Linked DNA regions of Callithrix jacchus. The protein of the gene in region 2 interacts with the protein of the main gene of each other region in a pairwise test. Links are inferred from orthologs where the notes say so. Each region holds a gene or a part of one and is shown on either strand. Other genes may lie near its edges. The genes, in order: LZTS2, GEM and AHCYL1.

Evidence for each region.
Region 1: the proteins of GEM (region 2) and LZTS2 interact in binary tests that used the Homo sapiens proteins (3 or more experiments, as listed by UniProt). The two-hybrid records come from large-scale screens. The link is inferred for Callithrix jacchus from reciprocal best matches to the Homo sapiens genes GEM and LZTS2.
Region 3: the proteins of GEM (region 2) and AHCYL1 interact in binary tests that used the Homo sapiens proteins (3 or more experiments, as listed by UniProt). The two-hybrid records come from large-scale screens. The link is inferred for Callithrix jacchus from reciprocal best matches to the Homo sapiens genes GEM and AHCYL1.

Annotation. Positions count from the first base shown.
Region 1 is NC_133513.1:93,953,029-93,956,703, reverse strand, and holds the start of LZTS2 (leucine zipper putative tumor suppressor 2), read right to left. Parts: upstream 2,813-3,675; 5' UTR 2,652-2,812; intron 1,616-2,651; exon of another isoform or gene 1,484-1,615; intron 1,316-1,483; exon of another isoform or gene 954-1,315; intron 101-953; exon of another isoform or gene 1-100. UniProt on the Homo sapiens protein: Negative regulator of katanin-mediated microtubule severing and release from the centrosome. Required for central spindle formation and the completion of cytokinesis.
Region 2 is NC_133517.1:32,946,889-32,950,535, forward strand, and holds part of GEM (GTP-binding protein GEM), read left to right. Parts: intron 1-2,648; coding exon 2,649-2,725; intron 2,726-3,529; coding exon 3,530-3,647. UniProt on the Homo sapiens protein: Could be a regulatory protein, possibly participating in receptor-mediated signal transduction at the plasma membrane. Has guanine nucleotide-binding activity but undetectable intrinsic GTPase activity.
Region 3 is NC_133508.1:147,870,994-147,874,740, reverse strand, and holds the end of AHCYL1 (S-adenosylhomocysteine hydrolase-like protein 1), read right to left. Parts: intron 3,484-3,747; coding exon 3,363-3,483; intron 2,579-3,362; coding exon 2,572-2,578; 3' UTR 508-2,571; downstream 1-507. UniProt on the Homo sapiens protein: Multifaceted cellular regulator which coordinates several essential cellular functions including regulation of epithelial HCO3(-) and fluid secretion, mRNA processing and DNA replication.

The DNA.
Region 1 (3,675 bases), on a different chromosome or scaffold from region 2:
CCAGGCCGCCCCCAGCGCTCCACAGGCGCGCCGCCCGGCTCCGGCCCCGATCCCGGCCCGCGCGCCGCCACTCCGAGCGGCCCGGGCCGGCCCCGCCTCCGCCTCCGCGGCGCCCCCCGGCCCAGGCCAGCCCCCGCCCAGTGCGAGTGGGCGGCGCTGCGCAAGGGAGGGTCCGAGGGCCGTCCCCGCCCCGGGCCGCGGACACGCTCCGGCACCCGCGTCACGCGAGTCCGCCGGGGCGCACGTAGGGGCTGCTCGGCGGCAGTCGGGAGCCCTCCTTCCGACGCCCTGTGACTGCGTGTCCGGGGACTTGGCTCGGCTCGGCGGCGGCGGTCACCCTCCGCCCCAGCCCGGGCCCGGGGGCCGGCGGCAGCTGGTCATTGTTACAGCACAAAGAGCCCCGGCGAGGCGGCGGCGGCCGCCCCTCCCCCTCGGCTTCTCCAGGCGAAAATTCCCTGACACGCTCTCAGCCTCAGGGTCCCAAGCAGGAGGCCGAGGGCCGGCCGCCCCCCACTCTCCGGTCCGGGGGCCCCGCGCCCTAGCGTGAGACGGTGGCCAAAGCTCGGTCCGCGCCTGCCCCACCCGCGGCGGGTTGCAGGCGGCAACCTGGGCTTCGCGGAGGCGGCGCCACCTGGCGGCCGACTCGAAGAACACACTCAGCCTCCCCCCACCACACTGGCCCTGTCCCACTCCCCGGCACGGTGTCCTTTCCCCCGCGAACCCAGGCCGGCCTCCCCTTGGGATCACTTTTTAAAAAGAGAGGCCATTTCTCAGAGAGGGGCAGTCCTGGCTCCCCAATATCACTGGGCGAGCCGGTTCCAGCCTACAGCCCAAACCTACACCAGCCTCACGGCAAACAACATTCCACTTTCTCAGGATCGCAGACATTTTCACCTTCTCGCGCACAACACAGTCCCTAACACCCACACGACCTTTCCCATAGGCAGCCTCACCACGCAGCCACAAGCAGTCTCAGCTGTCACGTGGGACCGCGTTCCTTCTTTCCATAATCTTCCAGTCCATGTCACACACAGACACGGTGTCACAGGCCTGTTGTGGAGAGGCTTCCACAATTCGCAGTCCTTCGCACCCAGTCACAGTCTCAAATGCACTTAGTCTCCTGGCCATCTTTCACACATTGACAGCCTCTATTGACATTCACTCACACGGACAACTTCTTACACACACGCCGTGCTTCACAAATATCCTATAGCACAGCCTTTCCCTTAAGGGTCTCGGTGACCCGGTCAGGTCAGCTGATGCCTGCATCCCTGGGCAAAGACAGCCTTTCTCCCCTAAGGACTCCCTCCCCCCCAGGGCCAAGGCCTGCCAGAGCTCGTCCGGGCCCCAGGAAGGAGCATCCCCCCCTTCCAGGCCACAGCCCTGGCCCGCTCTCAGCTCTATTTTTAGCTCTATGGATAGGGTTGTTTTTCTTTCTTTTTCCCTGGAAAGGGAAACACAGCCCAGCCACCCTCAGACTCACCCCAGACCCTCAGCCTCACAAGAACAGACTGAGCCCCTCTCCCCAGCAAAGCCCCCTCCTCTGGCCTTGCCCTGATCCCTGCCTCCTGGGGCACAGAGAGCCTCCTCCTCTTTCTGGCAGCCTGCCCATCTCAGGCAGCAGCTGGGCTCAGCGTGTGTGTGTAGGGGTGGGGGGGTGGGGCGGGGAAAAGGAATCAAGCTACTGCCCACTCCCTCATTCCCTGGGGGGAGGAGCTCGCCCTCCTTTTGCTAGGGGGGTAGGCCCACTCCAGTATTGAGGGGGCGTTTACACTCATGAATTTTCTCGGGGGAGGAGACTCGGAATCCCACAAAGAGTGGAAGTGAGGGTAGGAAGGGGACCCTCAGGCGCTCAGACAGCTGCTCTCTGGGCTGGGGTTAATAGGCGGGGGCAGCTGTCCACTGTCATCAAGGGCCTGTCTCCGAAACTTTCCGGGATGTAGACACCAAGAATGTGCTGGGAAGAAGGACGTCCAGGAGCCCGAGTTACCCCGGCCCTGCCCAGCAGCCCGGCCCTCCTGCTCCGCCCCGGCTCCAGGGGGCGCTGTGCTCCGGTGCCTGGGAGAGGGTTTATCCCGGCTCCAGGCGGAGAATGGAACGCCGTCCGGCCTGGGACCAGGCAAACGCGCCCGGGACTGGGGTTGGGGTCCCCGCCCCGTGGTGGGGTTGGGAGCACTGGCCACTGATCTGCGGAGCGATCACGTGCGCCACGCCTGTTTACGTCTTGGTCTTCACCTGCGGGCGGCCAGGAAGCAGGAACCTCTGGGTGCGTCCCACCCGGCCCGCCTCCATTGCGGGCACGGGGCTGCCCCTTTCCCCCACCCAATACGCGACCGCAGAGTGTCCTGGCCGCTGGGGGTACGCGCGCGCCGGCTGGCGCTGTCCCTGGGAGTGCAAGGGTAGCCAACTGGGCGCGTCCTTTCCGAGTGCTTGTGTATTCGCATGTCCCAAGTGCGGGCGTGGGTCTGTGCACGCGTGTGTGGGGACCCGTTGGCATGCGTTTCCGTGTCGCTTCCCTGTTCTGACTCTTCGCCTGCGCCCGACCCCACTCCTCATCCCCACCCCCAGCTTCTCCAGAAGCGGAAAGTTCGCTCTGGAGCGGGGATGTGCAGGAGGCGGGAGTTCCTGCACCTCCGCCGCCCACCACTCACCCAGCGCCAGCTGCGCCTCGGCTACAGCTCCGGCGCCGCTCCTGCTCCAACGCGCTCGCCTCCTCGCTGCGACAACGCCGGCTCCCTAGCTCGCTCCGAACTCTGGGCTCCGGGCTCCGGGCTCCCGGCTCCCGGCTCCCGGCGCCCGCCTGGCAGGACCTGGTGGAGCAGAGCGGGGCGGGGCAGGGCGGCTCAGGCCGCGCCCCCCACCCGGGGAGGGGAGTGGTCTGCCCCGCACCCCACCAACAGCCGACCCAGTGCCCAGCCCAACAGTGGCTAGACAGTGGCGGAGGATGCCTCTCTGGCCTCTGACTTCACAGCTTACCGGACTTGGTTTTCCACCTGGGGAAAAGGGGCGATCATCACGTGACCGAGAATTCTGCTACCTGGCTGCCTTAACTAAGCTGCCTATAGAGCCTGACTCCGCCACTCTCCCCCCTGCTCGGTTGGGAGCCCAACCAGTCCACTCTGGGCCCAATACCCAAGTACAAGGAAAACCCCTGGGAAGCACACAAAGAAGACTTGAGTTTCACCAGAGCAGCTCCCACCTACCCCCACCATGCACACACCTCACTTGGGGCCGCCCAAGCAGAACCAGCACAGCCCCCTCCCTGGAGTAGGTGTCTGCCCAGGTGAGCAGGCCTGCCGGTTTTGACCTCCCAGGGGGCATGGCTGGGCTTCTTTTAGACTCATAAAGTCCCACCCACAGGCACAAACAGGAAGTTGGCCTGTATTGCAAGGAGGCCCCAAGGGCTCCCTCCCACCATGTCACTCAAGGCAGCATGTGGGTAGGTCTACAGGTACTTGGGCCATATGAGCTGCAGGAGACCTCGGTGAGTTGTGGCTTCTGAAATCCATCCACTGCAGAGAATAAGCTGCTGGAGGACCAAAGCTGACCCCTCACAGCCAAGTATGACACACACTGTCCATCACAGGACAGGGCTGCAGATGCAACTGAACCTGACTCAGCCAGGCCTTTCCTGAATTCTCAGGGAGATTTTTTTGAAATGTTTTTTTCTTCCCA
Region 2 (3,647 bases):
CAGAGCACTGGAGAAATGGGGGTGACTCTAGACCCAGGCTACTGAAAAGCCTTACAGAGGCTAATCAGCATCCAAACTTTTCTCCACACCTTAACCGGGAGCACACTTGAAAGAGCTCTCCTAGAGCCTGGTATTCATTTCGTTCCCTTCTTCTTACCTGGTTAGCACTTGACAAGGATAAAAGATGAGCTGGGCAACTTAGAGGAAGAGAAACCTAGAGCTGTGTTACTCCCAGGCTTGCACCTGGTTAGGGGGGATGCCATGTGTGCTGGAAGGGTCCTGGTGCACACAGCCAGAGGCCGTATCTAAACGCCTGTACTGGGGTGGGGAGTAAAGGGAGAGTACACATGCTGAGCAGGGAGGAGATGGATTGCTTTAACCTCCCAGGCCCTCCAACACAATGATTTTCAGGCAGAGGTAAGGTCAGACAGAGTGACTCTGTCAGGAAACTTCTAGAATGGCAAAGCATCTTGTTTCTATTTTTATGGCTGTGATCCTTAGTCCACTTTTTCTCTAGACTTGTTCTGATGTTTCTTAAGCCAGGAGAAAGTTGGGGTTTCTTTTTCCATCAGTGACTGGAACACAGTATGTTTCTATTTGAATGACTGGGCACTCAAGCAAGTACCCTGTACCTGAGTGGTGGGCTGAGGGCAGAGAAGGTTCCTCCATCATTGAAGGAGTTGTCTGAGTGCAGGGAGGGATTTTAGAGAAAAGCTAAGAACCCTGTGGTGGGAAGCGGGCAGTCAGCCCATCCCTGCTCTGTGCTGCCCAAGCGCTGATGGTCTCCATTGCATTGTCAAATTTGCATGTTGAGGTTGTGAGGCTCTACCCCGCCCCTGCCCCATAATCCGAATAGTCCCACTGTGATCTCATTCCTTCTGCGTATTGTGAGCAGGCACACACGATGGGCATGACAGTTTTAATCCCCCAGTGGCAAACACTGATGAGAAGAATGACACTGTGGGAGGAGGAGGAAACTCACAGAAAGACAGGGCCATCCCTGGTTAACTCTTCTTATTTGTCCAAGTTTTCCTTCTGTAAGGAACCTTTCCTGGTTCCAGTTCTTAGATGATGAAGCATGGATCCAGGAGCAGTGTTTTTCATAAACCCTTTGCTACTATAAAACAAGAAATGTCCTGGTTCCAATGTAGCTCTCTTAAGCTAGGATTTATCTGTAGTAAGGAAGTGCTGAGTATGGCAAGAACCAGCTTCCTTCACGTGAAGAAGGGATAATGACTAACATTGATTGAGTTTCTGCTTTGTGCCCAGGCTTAATATATGTAACTGTCACATAGCCCTAAGGTGTGAGTACTATTGTCAGTCTCATTGCACAGATGAAGAAAACTGAGGTTCAGAGAGCTTAAGTGGCCCAGACCCACAGAGTTCATAAGAGACAACACTTGGATTCGAATTCGGGTTTGCTCATGCTCACAGCCACAATGCTGTATTTATCATCCGCTCACTGTACACACTTTTATTGCACACCAGCAATGTACCAATGTGTGGAGGGACACAGTAAACAGCACAGATGCAAAGGTCTGCCCTAACATTATAAGGAGGGGCAGGAGGGACAGAAAATAATAAAATAAATAAGTTAAATGTGTTGTATGCTAGGTGGCAATAAGTGTGATGGGAAAGAATATTGTGGGAGAGAAGTGTTGCCATTTTAAATGGACGGCCAGGAAGCCCCTCCCCCAGAGGGAGGTAAGGGAATAGGCCTTGTGGATATTTGAGGGAGAAGATTCTAGACGAAAAGAACAAGTAGAAAAATGATAAATCATTATGAAAGTCATAATTTTCAAAAGATGAAATTCAAAACAGGAAACCTCATTGTGAAAATAGAGTGAGGATGGGCTCAATTGTATGGGGATGGTGGAAATCCCACTTGCAAAAATCCCACTGGACCCTTTCTACGCCTGCCTCACCATGGATTTTTCCAGGCTGGAATTGCTTTGGCCCATCGTACTGTTACTGTGCTCACCCTTCACCTACACATGATCTGGGCTCGAGTGCAGGGAGGAAAGTTTCCATTACCAAGTAGAGCTGGAGGCTGAATTTCTGTTATACTTAAGAGGGAAAAACAAGCCCATTTATTCCGAGGGAACAGGATTTTTTTTTTAAAGGAAGAAAACTACAGCCAAAACAGGGAGAGACTTAAGATTCTTTCCTGCCCTTGTCCAAAGAGGAGCAGTGTCTCTGAGCTCAAAGCTCCTGAAATTGCCAGTGAGTGTTAAGTAACTACCCACTGAAAGGTACAATGGACTTATGAAAACGGGCTTACAGTTTCACTGGGCAGTTAATGCTTTCTCATAGCATTAATCATTGAATCTGAGACAAAAGTCTTTAAGTTTATCCTCATAAATGATTTTCCCATGTGAAAGGTCCAGGAATGATGAAAACAAATGGCTTTTACTCCATGTGGTTTAGTGATGCATGTTTGAGAGATATGCTCTGCTGGAGGAATGTAGTAGAATGTTGTTGAAAGTGACAAAAATAGTAATTTGCCTTTGAAAATGTCTTTATATTTGCATAATTAATTGCATATTTAGAGAGTTTATGTTCTAGCGTAAGTTTCTACATGACCCTTTTATGGAAAAGTGTTGCATATTCACCTGACTTCAATATATATTTGTTCTTTTTTTTTCTAGAAGATACATATGAACGAACCCTGATGGTTGATGGGGAAAGTGCAACAATTATACTCCTGGATATGTGGGAAAATAAGGTATGCAGAGCCTGTAGCTCTCTAAATTCCTTCGGGGGTTTTCCTTCCAACAAGCTGTTTGGTGTGAGGGGGACCTTGTCCTGTATAGTGGGTATTGTAGATGAGGTGGGCTCATTTTCTTGATTAAAAGCATGCTTCTGAAGAATGAGACCATTCTGAGGAACAGGTCGTTCACAGATGAGTTCTGAATAACAAGCAAGTTGTAGTGACTTGCCTTTAGTTCTATTAAAAAACACACCAAAAACGTGTATTTGTTTTAGGGAAAACACAAACAGGCATGGACTGTTGCTTTAAATAACATAAATCCATCTCATCTGAAGTTGAGATTCTCAATACTAATTTGCAACATTGGCTTTTTAAAGATTTCGAAATGCCTCAGAACCTATGTGGTAGACTTCTGTTTATTGAAAATCCCTCCTAGTCCCCACAAAAGTGTTCTTAATCTCATCACTTGGAAAGGCAAAAGGGAGTTTTTGAGAAGTCAGCAAAGGCTCATTTATGGTAGATTAAGTAGAAATTGGAAATGCTGTTTGGCAGAGTAGTTGTGTAATTTATCAACTCAAGCTGCAGAAGACATTGAAAAGTAAAAACTTTTTGGCATAAATACTGGACAGGCTAGCCATCTTTCCAGCCACCAAACATCTTGTAGGCATGGAAGACCAATGCTTTTGGAGAGCTGGAAGCAATTTCTTCCTTTCTTCTATCAGCAAGGGTACTTTAGGATACATGTATTGTTTCTTTGGTAACTGACGCTTCATTCCCCACGTCAAATTGAACTCACAGAAGATCTTATTGTTTCATTAGGGGGAGAATGAATGGCTTCACGACCACTGCATGCAGGTCGGGGACGCATACCTGATTGTCTACTCAATCACGGACCGAGCGAGCTTCGAGAAGGCATCTGAGCTGCGAATCCAGCTCC
Region 3 (3,747 bases), on a different chromosome or scaffold from region 2:
TAGCTGAGACTGTGGTCTCAGCTACTCACGAGGTTGAGGTGGGAGGACTGCTTAAGCCTGGGAGGCAGAAGTTGCAGTGAGCTAAGATCAAGCCACTGCACTCCAACCTGGGTGACAGTGAGACCCTGTCTCAAAAAAAAAGAAGACACTGAGATCACTTCAGAAACGGATACAGGTGCCGGGGGAGGCTGAAGCTTACATAACTTTGGGGGCATTCTTTAGAAATGAGATTTTAGAAGGAACTATGCAAATGAGGAGCCCTGAGGCTTAAGCAGCAAATCTGCTTTCTGAAAGAGGTTAGGAGTGAAAGTACCCAGGCTGGGTGCTTGGCACAGAGCAGGAAAACAAAACTTCAGGTATTACTGAAGAATACTGTATCCAGCCTCTACAAATTAGGTCCTCAACAAATCTCTATTAAATGCTGCTGACCTATAACTTGTCATACCTTAGAAAACAGGTTCTAGTGAAGTTTTGGTGTTCAACAAAGAATGATACACAGACTGCCAATAAGGTCTTATCATTTTAATTGATTTTAATGATTATTGCTAATCTGCAAGGATTAATATTGCATTCATTAAAAATCATTCAATACAAAATGAACTCGTTCCTCCCAAGTTGCTCTCCACATGCTCCCTCTGATGCCAGACTGTTTTTTTTTTTTTTTTTACAGTGTCCTTTGTTACATGGCTTGACAGAGACAGAGCCCTTACCTATTATTCCTATGGACACAGTAATAGACATGGGATCAGGGGACAGGCCAGAGGGCAGGTTAATGTGGGTGCCTTCCCTCCAGCAGGGCCAACGTGATGGATAGGTTGTTGGCCAGGTTGCCTCCCCTAACAGATGTGGTGTTCTGACTGGCTGGTTAAGTGCCCGAGGAAAAAGGGCCTCAACTGTTAACATCTACAGAGAAGAAAGCATGGTTATACACTGGCAAGGAATGAGAAGGGACTGGGTGGGGGAAAATGGGAGAGAAAAGGGAAAGAAGTTTTGGCAAGACAATTGTCCCCTGCTAAGAAGGTGCAGGGTGAAAGCTTTCCTTTCTTTTATTTTCGTTTTTATATGTCTGACTCTCTGATCAATGGAAAAGTGAAAATTTCTAGTATCTAGCACTAATGTATGACCCAACTTTGAAGGATCACAAGCTAGAACAGGTTGAGGATTTAAAATCCTGGATAATTGTATACTTAAAGCTCACGAGCATACAGCTCATTTGACCATGCAGAGATGCTGGGCAGCAGGGTGCATGGCATGGAAATACATCTCCCTGATCTTTGAGAGAGCCTCTCTGGAGATTCTTTCAGAGCATAAGCCAGGATGGACTGATGACTTTCTCCACACATCAATTGCCCTTTGAGATCTCAGTTCATAAACTTTTTGTGGTATGTAGCAATCAAAAGTCATTATTACTTCTGTAAAACCACCATTATATAGGCTGTATAGTCCCAGACAAATTATATGAAGCTAGATTTTTCTCACCCTGGCCCAATTTATCATTCCTCCTCCTGCCCACACCTACCCCCCCTTAAATATTTCAGGTTGCAGAAGCACAGCTGACCAGAAATTTGCTCTTAAAGATAAATGCTAAAGATAGAAGTCAGTGCTTTATACTGAGTAATGGCTCAAGAAATTCGCCTTCAGCACAGCTGTATGGGACAGAGCTGACAGAATTTGCTGTTATGGCTCCAGTTCACTGATGCTATAAACTATGGGTTAGAAACACAGGGCCATAACAGGGTTTGAGACTAGCATTTCTCTAGACTCAGCATCCTTAGCTCCAAGGGTTTAAAATTTAGAGAAATTGGTAACGACTAACCACTCAAGCAGTTCCTCAGCATTAACACTAAAAATTTTCCTTAATTTTTCTTTTTGGACAATAGAAATAAATCCTAGAGGACAAAATTCAATTCAACTCAATAGAGTACAGTCTAGTTAAAAACTAGAAAAATGAGAAAGTCTGGTGGGAGTAGAGGAAAGGTGTACTATACATCCAAGTGGGCTTCCTGGTCTTAACAAGCAATGCTCATTATACACATCTCTGAACCAGACATACCACCTTTACACAGGAAACAGGGCTTGGAACTTCTAAGGGAAATTAACATGCACCACCTACATCTAACCTACCTGCCTGGTAGATACCATCCCTACTTCTCTGAAGAAGTGAAAGAGCCCTGATTTCAGCAGCTAAGAAATGGGCTCTTTTAAGGCGATTTAGACATTGCAGATTGTTCCACAGAGAAGGTACCTTAGCATTTCCTGTTAATAAGGTACCTAATTAAGACTAAAGTCCCCAGAAATGGTAAAGAAAGAATCACCTTTCTGGGCTGGGAGAGTAAAATCCTTCTTTAGTGACTGGGATGAGGAACCCTGAACTTCCATTTCATCTAAAGAGCTATGAAGCAAGTTCCTTTGGGGTCTGCAGAACTTAGATAAGGAGATGAAAAAACAAGAATGAAATTACAGGAAAAACGATCAAGAGGAAAGGAGTAAGAAGAAAATAAAAGTTATCTTAAAAAATATTTCTTTTAGAGTGTGTGGTTCACGTGGACTGGTCCTTGGTAATATGGTCCATTAATATCTGTAAAGAGAGAGAGTGATTGGTTAACACTTACGTTTTCCATATGAGAGCTCCAAGACGACAATTGGAAACCGAGCACCTTCTCCAACGCCCCTCCCCAGCCGGTGTGGGATCCCTGCAGTCATTTCCCAGGACACCATTATTCCTTGTTCTTATACAGCGTCTCTGACAATGCCACTTCTGGTATTACCACCTGCTCCCAAGAGTCAGTGTTTTTCAACTCTGACTAAACATTATAATAATCTGGGGAGGTGTTACAAAATAACGTTTTGTAAATTTGGTCCCATCAGAATCTCTTGGGGTGAAGCCCAGGTTCCAAAATTTCAAAAAATCCCCTAACTCCCTTACATTCATCACAATCTCTGTCTACCTTGTTAACTAGAACAGTTGGGTTTTTTTTTTGAGACAGAGCCTCACTCTATCACCCAGGCTGGAGTGCAGTGGTGTGATCCTGGCTCACTCTGCCTCCCAGGTTCAAGCAATTCTCGTGCCACAGCCTCCTGAGTAGCTATGACTACAGGCGCATGCCCCTACACTCAGCTAAGAGATAGGGTTTTGCGACATTGGCCAGGCTGGTCTTGAACTCCTGACCTCAAGTGATCCATGCGCCTAGGCCTCTGAAAGTGCTGGGATTATAGGCGTGAGCCATCATACCTGGCCTGGAACAGATTTCTTGTACTCTTCAAAATCAGGTACAACATTTGATCTTTATGTCAGAAAGAGGCTAGCCTGCTTGGTTTAATACTGGGAAAAAGAGCTTTTCACTTGCTTCTCCTCAGGTTACCTGTAATAATTAGGTTTGAATGGCCCGTTTTTGTTGAGTCCCAGATACTTTGCTTGGTCATCTGTCAGCTCTGTAAGGTGGGCATCAAATGATGGCAGGTGCAAGCTGGCAACATATTCATCTAGGAAGAGCAAAGTGGCAGGAGAGCAGACTCCTTTTCAATATGCCTCTCAGGTTATAACTTCCCACTACTTTCATTTGAAGCTTTTTTAAGAAAGCAGACAAGGGGTGGAATAACTGAAAGAATTCACAACTTGAAATACTTGCTTAACCAAAAAAAAACCTCAAAGCTGCCTTTCTTGGCAGGGCGCTTCTCTCAGCACATCTCAAGTGTGTTCAGAAAACCACTTACCAGTAATAAAAGGGGGTGGCTTTTACCTCTCTA